Linked DNA regions of Rattus norvegicus. The protein of the gene in region 1 purifies or fractionates together with the protein of each later gene. This does not show direct contact. Links are inferred from orthologs where the notes say so. Each region holds a gene or a part of one and is shown in the gene's direction. Other genes may lie near its edges.

Region 1 (3,819 bases):
TGCACCCCCACCCCCTCTGCCACCACCACAGCCCCCAGTGGATGTGTGTTTGAAGAAGGGTGACTTCTCACTGTACCCTACAGCAGCACATTACCAGCCTCCACTAGGCTATGAGAGGATAACCACCTTTGACAGCAGTGGCAATGTGGAAGAGGTGTGCCGGCCTCGCACTCGGATGCTCTGTTCCCAGAACACCTACACTCTTCCTGGCCCAGGCAGTTCTGCCACCTTGAGACTCACAGCCACTGAGAAGAAGGTCCCCCAACCCTGTACCAGTGCCACTCTGAACCGACTAACTGTCCCTCGATATTCCATCCCCACAGGGGACCCACCTCCATACCCTGAAATCGCTAGCCAGCTGGCCCAGGGGCGGAATGCTACTCAAAGGCTGGATAACAGTCTCATCCATGCCACCCTACGAAGGAACAACCGAGAGGTTGCACTTAAGATGGCCCAGCTGGCTGACAGCTCCCGTGCCCCACTGCAGCCCCCAGCCAAGCCTAAGGGGGGCACTGGTGGGGCAGTGGCACAGCTCCCAGCAAGGCCTCCACCTGCCCTATACACCTGCAGCCAGTGCAGTGGAGCAGGGCCCAGCTCACAGTCAGGTGCAGCCCTGGCCCATGCTATCAGCACCTCCCCGCTGGCCTCCCAGTCCTCCTACAATCTTCTAAGCCCTCCTGACACCTCCCGTGATCGTACTGACTATGTCAACTCAGCCTTCACAGAGGACGAGGCCCTGTCTCAGCACTGTCAGCTTGAGAAACCTCTGCGGCATCCCCCACTTCCTGAAGCCACTGTCACCATGAAGCGGCCTCCCCCCTACCAGTGGGACCCCGTGCTGGGTGAGGACGTTTGGGTTCCCCAGGAAAGGACAGCACAGCCTACAGTGCCCAACCCCTTAAAACTGTCCCCTCTCATGATAGGGCAGGGCCAGCACCTGGATGTGGCTCGAGTGCCCTTTGTGTCTCCCAAGTCTCCATCCAGCCCTACTGCCACCTTCCAGACAGGCTATGGGATGGGAGTGCCATATCCAGGCAGCTATAATACCCCCTCTTTGCCTGGAGTCCAAGCTCCGTGTTCCCCTAAGGATGCCCTGTCCCCGGCACAGTTTGCACAACAGGAGTCTGCTGTCGTACTTCAGCCAGCATACCCACCCAGCCTTTCCTATTGCACCTTGCCCCCCACATACCCAGGAAGCAGCACATGCTCCAGTTTACAGCTGCCGCCCATCGCCTTGCACCCCTGGAATTCCTACAGCACCTGCCCGCCCATGCAGAATACCCAGGGCACTCTCCCCTCCAAGCCCCACTTAGTGGTGGAGAAGCCTCTCGTGTCCCCTCCACCTGCCGAGCTCCAAAGCCACATGGGCACAGAGGTGATGGTAGAGACTGCAGACAATTTCCAAGAAGTCCTCTCTCTGACAGAAAGCCCCGTGCCCCAGAGAACAGAGAAATTTGGAAAGAAGAACCGGAAGCGCCTTGATAGCCGAGCAGAGGAAGGGAGTGTTCAGGCCATCACTGAGGGCAAAGTAAGAAAGGATGCTAGGACTTTGAGCGACTTTAACTCGCTCATCGCCAGTCCCCGCCTGGGGAGAGAGAAGAAGAAAGTGAAAAGTCAGAAAGACCAACTGAAGTCAAAGAAGTTGAACAAGACAAACGAGTTCCAGGACAGCTCAGAGAGTGAGCCCGAGCTGTTCATCAGCGGGGATGAGCTGATGAACCAGAGCCAGGGCAGCAAGAAGGGGTGGAAAAGCAAGAGGAGCCTGCGGACGGCCAGCGAGCTGGAGGAATTCAAGGGCCGCAAAGCCAGTGAGAAGGAAGACGGGCGACTGGGCAGCCAGGGCTTCGTGTATGTGATGGCCAACAAGCAGCCTCTGTGGAATGAAGCCACCCAGGTGTACCAGCTAGACTTTGGAGGGAGGGTGACCCAGGAGTCTGCCAAGAACTTCCAGATCGAGTTGGAGGGACGGCAGGTAAGGAGACTGGCCTTCTCGTGTGCTTTAAATTCAAGTGATTCCTGAACCCTTAGGCAGATAGAGAGGGAAAGCACACCCCACGCATTCATCCCCTCACCACCTGTGTTTGAGTTGCAGGTGCCTCCTAGAGTTTGGGGCTTTCTAGTATCTGTCACTGTATTTGCAAAAACCCCTATTTTTATTTATTGATACTTCTAATTGAGCTGTCATATGTTGCCTTCCCCCTCTCTGACTCTAGTGGATTGTGCTGTCTGCTTCCTTCAGGAGCTGGCAGACTTAGTTACCTCAGTCCCTACCTTTCATTTCATGGCTTCGCTTCCTACCACCTTGACCCGAGACAATGCAGTCTGGACGGACTGACTGCACTGTATACAATACTCCTTCCCAGCTGTTCATTACGCGCTATGGAAGGACGCTATGTTGTCAACCCTGCTCCCTACCTCACTAGTAGACATGAGAGCGCCCCCACTTTCCCAGTTTAAGCAGTAGGTATTGGTGACTACCCATGTCACTGAAGGTCTTCGTTAGGGTGGTACTGCTGTGAAGAGACACCATAACTATTGCAACTCTTAGAAAAGGAAAACATTTCATGGGGCTGGCTTACAGTCTCAGAGGTTTAGTCCATTGTCATAGCAGAAAGCGTGACATCACACAGGCAGACATGGTGCTGGAGAAGGAGAGTTCTACATCTTGATCTGCAGGCAGAAAGAGACAGTGTGCCACACCAGGCTTAGCTTGAGCATCGGAGACCATGAAGCCCACCCTCACAGTGACACAGCCCCTCCAACAAGGCCACGTATCCCTCCCTACAGCCAAGCATCAAACCTGTCTACGGGGGAGGGGCTGGACCTTTCAGACCTCCACACTGAGAGTTTCATAGCTGTACCCGTTAGGAGTTTTTCCTAAATATTTTGTTTTAATTACCTAGTTATTGTTTGCTTATTTCTCGTTGTGTTTATTGCTAAGTCATCCTCAAGTTCTCTAGTAGAAGGCAAATCTCCTTGGTACAAATGAAGAACACAGATGACAAGACAGTGCTTGTCACAGCACGATGGCCTCTGTACCCCTGCCACCTCCATCCATTTTAAATTTCACTTTCACTCATCACATACTTGTGCTCCCTGCTGTGTGCCTGGCGGTTTCTAAGCCGAGAATTGGCAGACTGGCTTGCGCATCCGTGTCACCCTTCCTGTCTGTAAATAAAGCATTATTGATACGCAGTTCTGGCTAATAAATTCTACCGGTACTTCCCCCTCACAAGCAGAATTGAATGGTTCTGCAGAGTATCTGAGTTACAGGCTAAAATGTTTTCACAGCACTTTAGAAAGTCGCCAGCCCTTCCTCTAAGTGCAATCAAGACCTCTGAGTCGTGGAAGTAACTGTTAAGTGTATCTTTCAAAACAGGGAGGAAGCCACAAGGAAGTGGGCGTGCGTCCTATGCTGTGTGCTGCCATAATCTCATGTGTAGAGGCCACAGGAGGTGGGACAAGGAGGAGCACGTTGGGAAGGGGGGTGTGATGCTCTAGACAGTCACCAGGGACGCCTGCTCTGAGGCAGAGTTGGCACATCTCTGAGGTCTCTCAGTGTGGTATGGAGTCTTCTCTTTCTTCTCCCCAGAGAACACACTTTATCTTACCTGTGGCTCTCCATGTAAGCTCCTTGACCCCTTACACCATCGGCCATGATCTCTGTTTCCTGTAACCCTGTAGTCAGAGGTAGAGGCCCATTAGATTCAGTTACTTGAGTTTCTGGAACTCTGCTGGACTGTGCTCTCTGCTTCCTCGAAGTGGGCACACTACACTGGCTGCGGTCTCACTTTCTTTTCCTTTCTTGTGTTTGCTCCC
Region 2 (3,819 bases), on another chromosome or scaffold:
CTATGCTTGAACTGTATCAGCCAACCCAACACAACTAATTTATTTGTTCATTGTTGTCTGGTTTAGTAATGTGGGCTTGCCTCAATTAATTTCACTCAAGCTCATTAATGCATTGGTAGTTGGGTCTGCAAGGGTCAGGTGGTCCAAGTGAGCATAATTAAATATGTATTACTCAGGGCTGATTTCCTCTTGGAAAAATTATCTCATATTCCTAAGGAAAACATCCTAGAAAGGTGTTTGTGGGACCTACAAGATTTCATCAGGTCTAGGCTTGTAATGGCAACATTCTGTGTGGTTAAAGCTGGTCACAAAATCAGCCCAGTGTGAGCAGTGGGAAAATCGAGGACCACCTTTAAGTGAAGTCTAAGATAGCATGTTTAAGCTCTAGGTATAACTTCAGCACCAATTCCATCCCTGCAAAGAGAAATACTTTACCTGTCATAAGATTTACTTTTAACTGGCTGCAGTAGGGCATACCTTTTTAATCCCAGTACTCAGGAGGCAGAGGCAGGCTGGTGGCTGTGTTGGAAGCCAACTGCCTCATGTATGAGCTCCAGGCCAGCTCAGGGGTACCCTGGCTCAAAAAGGGAGTGAGGAAGACAAACAAAAACTTAGAAACAAAACACTTCCCTCAAGTATATGCTGGAGAGGGTTAGTAGCCTCAACCACTAACTGTAGAGTATTTTCACCACCCTCTGAAGAAACATTGTACTGTTAACAGGCAAACACTCCCTGTTACTTCTCAAACCCTGTTCACCATTACACGTGAATTTTCTACCTCTGAGTTTGTCTGCTCTTGGGTTTCATAAACTGATTGATCTTTTATGAGCAGTCTTTACTTGGGATAGTAAATGTTTTCATGCCTGGTTTACATTTCCTACTTTTGATTGTTTTAGACAATGTGGCTATGAACATTTATGTACAGAATATTTATTAGGACATGTGCTTGGTTTCTCTTAAATATAGTATTTGTACAACAAATCATGTTTTAAAATTGTCGCTTGACTGCATACTGTCCTTATTCATCAAAGCATTTAGGTTCATTCCAAGCTGATACAGTTTTGTTTTTCAGCGCGTACTGAGCCATCAAGATGACACAGCTTTGCTAAAGGCATATATTGTTGAATGGCGAAAATTCTTCACCCAGTGCGATATTTTACCAAAACCTTTTTGTCAACTAGAGGTGACTTTATTGGGTAAACAAAGCAGCAATAAAAAATCAAATATGGAAGACAGTATTGTTCGAAAGGTATGTGTCTTACCCCATTGTTTCCTGATGTCTCTTAATGCCCTAAATGTCTTTAGGAAGGTGTTCATTATGATTTATGTAGGTCTTGCTAATCACAGGCAGACCCTTTTTTTTAAAGATTTATTTATTCTATATACACTGTCGCTGCAGACACACCAGAAGAGGGCATCAGATCCCATTACAGATGGTTGTGAGCCACCATGTGGTTGCTGGGAATTGAACTCAGGACCTCAGGAAGAACAGTCAGTGCTCTTAACCGCTGAGCCATCCCTCCAGCCCGCATGCAGTCTCTTTATAGCTGTTAGGTTTGTTTTTTATGAAACTTTTTCTTGCACTCATACATTTTAGCTTCAGCATTCTTTATCTTTGTATGTTCTCTTAAACTATAAGTGTTTTCAAACATAACCTCAATTTTCCTTTTTGGCTTTTTCCAGTTTTATCTTCAGTATCTTTTGTGCTATTTCTTTATACTTTATCTTCTTGTGAATTAATTACTCATTTTTTCTTTGAATACTCATTTCTTCTAACTTTAATTGTGCTAAGCAGCTGTCATCTTTATAGTTAGTCTAGTCATGTTTGTCACAAGGTTTCTTTCAACTATAAATTATTTTTTTTAAATATCTATACCTATTTACCAATTACCTACCTACTAGTGAGAAATGAATGGAAGCGTGTGAGCGCATACATGCTGCATAAGCTCTACCACTGAGCTCAGCCTCTTCAAAAGGTGAAAAACAAAACCTGCCATTTGAATTACAAAAACCCTGCTGTGATGGTTAGGTTAGAAGATCAATACCAGAATTGTCTGGGTGTTACCATCCCATCCTACTCTTGAAATTTGCTTTATGCAAGATACTATAACATTAGATATACATGGTATTTCAGTGCTAGAATTTGCTACAAATTGAAACATTTCTTTTTAAAGGGAAAAAGCCTTTGAAGATGCAAGCCCATAATCTTACCCTCTTGGTTTTTTTGTTATTCCTTTTTTTTTTTTTTCTATTTTTTTTAAATTTACTGTGAGGCTTACTGGTTTATGTGAGCATTGTTTCTGGGATGATATTTGTTGGGTTCAGATGTGGACATGTTAGTGTTGCCTGCTAGGCCCCAACTCTCACCATAGAAAGAGAAGTGGTATTCCTACTTCAGGACTGTTGGTGTTGCATTAATTATCTGTGGAAACACACGGTGCAGTCCAGGGTATGTTGTGAGAGTCACAGAATTAACTGTTGTCACCGCTCTCCCTGTTACCAACAGAGCGACTTGGAGCATTGGTCTTGGTTGCCAGTGTGTATTCTTTATTTCTATAACTTTGATAATCATGTGGTGGAAGATGTATACATTTTTATTGCAACTAGCACAGACATGCATGTGAGCGTCTTAGAACCACTAGAAATTTGCCTCTTAGTATTTTGCATGTGGGAAAGGAAATAAATAGAGCTAGAAACCAAATTGTATTCTGAAGAAAAAGTTTTTTTTGTTTTTTGGGGTTTTTTGAGATAAAGTCTCTGTATATTCCTGCTATCCTGAAGCTCACTATGTAGACCAAGCTGGCCTCAAACTCCTGCCTCTGAGTGCTCAGATTAAAGGTGTGTCATCATGTTGGCCCTAGTTCTTTACTATTGGCTAATAAAATGTGACTTCCTAAAGGACCCAACACTGCTGATACAGTAGTAGGATTTCCTTTTCTCCATTTGTCCTGAACCTTGTGTGTATGGTACTTGAGATGTTAATCACTGCAAATGATGCTGTATTTTCTTACTTCCTAGCTCATGCTTGATACGTGGAATGAGTCGATTTTTTCGAATATAAAGAACAGACTCCAGGATAGTGCAATGAAGCTGGTGCATGCTGAGAGATTAGGGGAAGCTTTTGATTCCCAGCTGGTCATAGGAGTGCGAGAGTCCTATGGTATGTTCTCAACTCTTATAATCGCATTTCCATTCTGCAAATCTTAGGATATTATGATTTGGTCAGACTCCCACCTTCTTCCTGTGCCATACACTTTTTAGTTTCAACATTATACAAATGATATTGACTCTGTGTCAGAGAAAACTGCTAAATTCAAATGTATTTTTCATATTTTCTCTTTATTAACTTCTTGGTTAACTACTCTCTGGTATCCTAAACCAGAGAACTATACATTGCAACCTACAACTCCTAAAAGGAAACGTTGTTTTATATAGATGTTTTCAGAAGTTAGGTTTCTGTGCAGATTCTCTGCCTTCTCAGATTCTAATAATGCTTCATCCTGTTTACTCAAATACCTTGTCTCCTCTGACTTAGAGAGCGCTTCCTAACCTTCAAGCTCATCCGCGTGCCTCATTTCACCCTTCCTACTTCTCAAAGGTCTTACTGATGCTTCATTTCACTGAATTAGTATGCCTAACACAAAGTAAACTTCAGTAGATGTATTTGTTGGAGTAAGCGAACTTTTAGTTATTTTTTAATTGTTTTTATCCTATTTTGATTGTTTTAATTAAAGTCTTTAGACTTTCTTTACTATTATCATTGAAAGTGTTCTTTTTATTTCATTTGCTGTTGGTCTAGACCTCTTTAAATTCTACACC

The links.
Region 2: the proteins of Tulp4 (region 1) and Cul5 purify together in Homo sapiens (affinity purification with mass spectrometry; 4 studies listed by BioGRID and IntAct, counting the BioPlex papers as one, with this or other methods). This does not show direct contact. The link is inferred for Rattus norvegicus from reciprocal best matches to the Homo sapiens genes TULP4 and CUL5.

What each region holds. Positions count from the first base shown.
Region 1 is NC_086019.1:49,209,716-49,213,534, forward strand, and holds part of Tulp4 (tubby-related protein 4), read left to right. Parts: coding exon 1-1,972; intron 1,973-3,819. UniProt on the Homo sapiens protein: May be a substrate-recognition component of a SCF-like ECS (Elongin-Cullin-SOCS-box protein) E3 ubiquitin ligase complex which mediates the ubiquitination and subsequent proteasomal degradation of target proteins.
Region 2 is NC_086026.1:62,942,060-62,945,878, reverse strand, and holds part of Cul5 (cullin-5), read left to right. Parts: intron 1-1,072; coding exon 1,073-1,249; intron 1,250-3,018; coding exon 3,019-3,160; intron 3,161-3,819. UniProt on the Homo sapiens protein: Core component of multiple cullin-5-RING E3 ubiquitin-protein ligase complexes (ECS complexes, also named CRL5 complexes), which mediate the ubiquitination and subsequent proteasomal degradation of target proteins.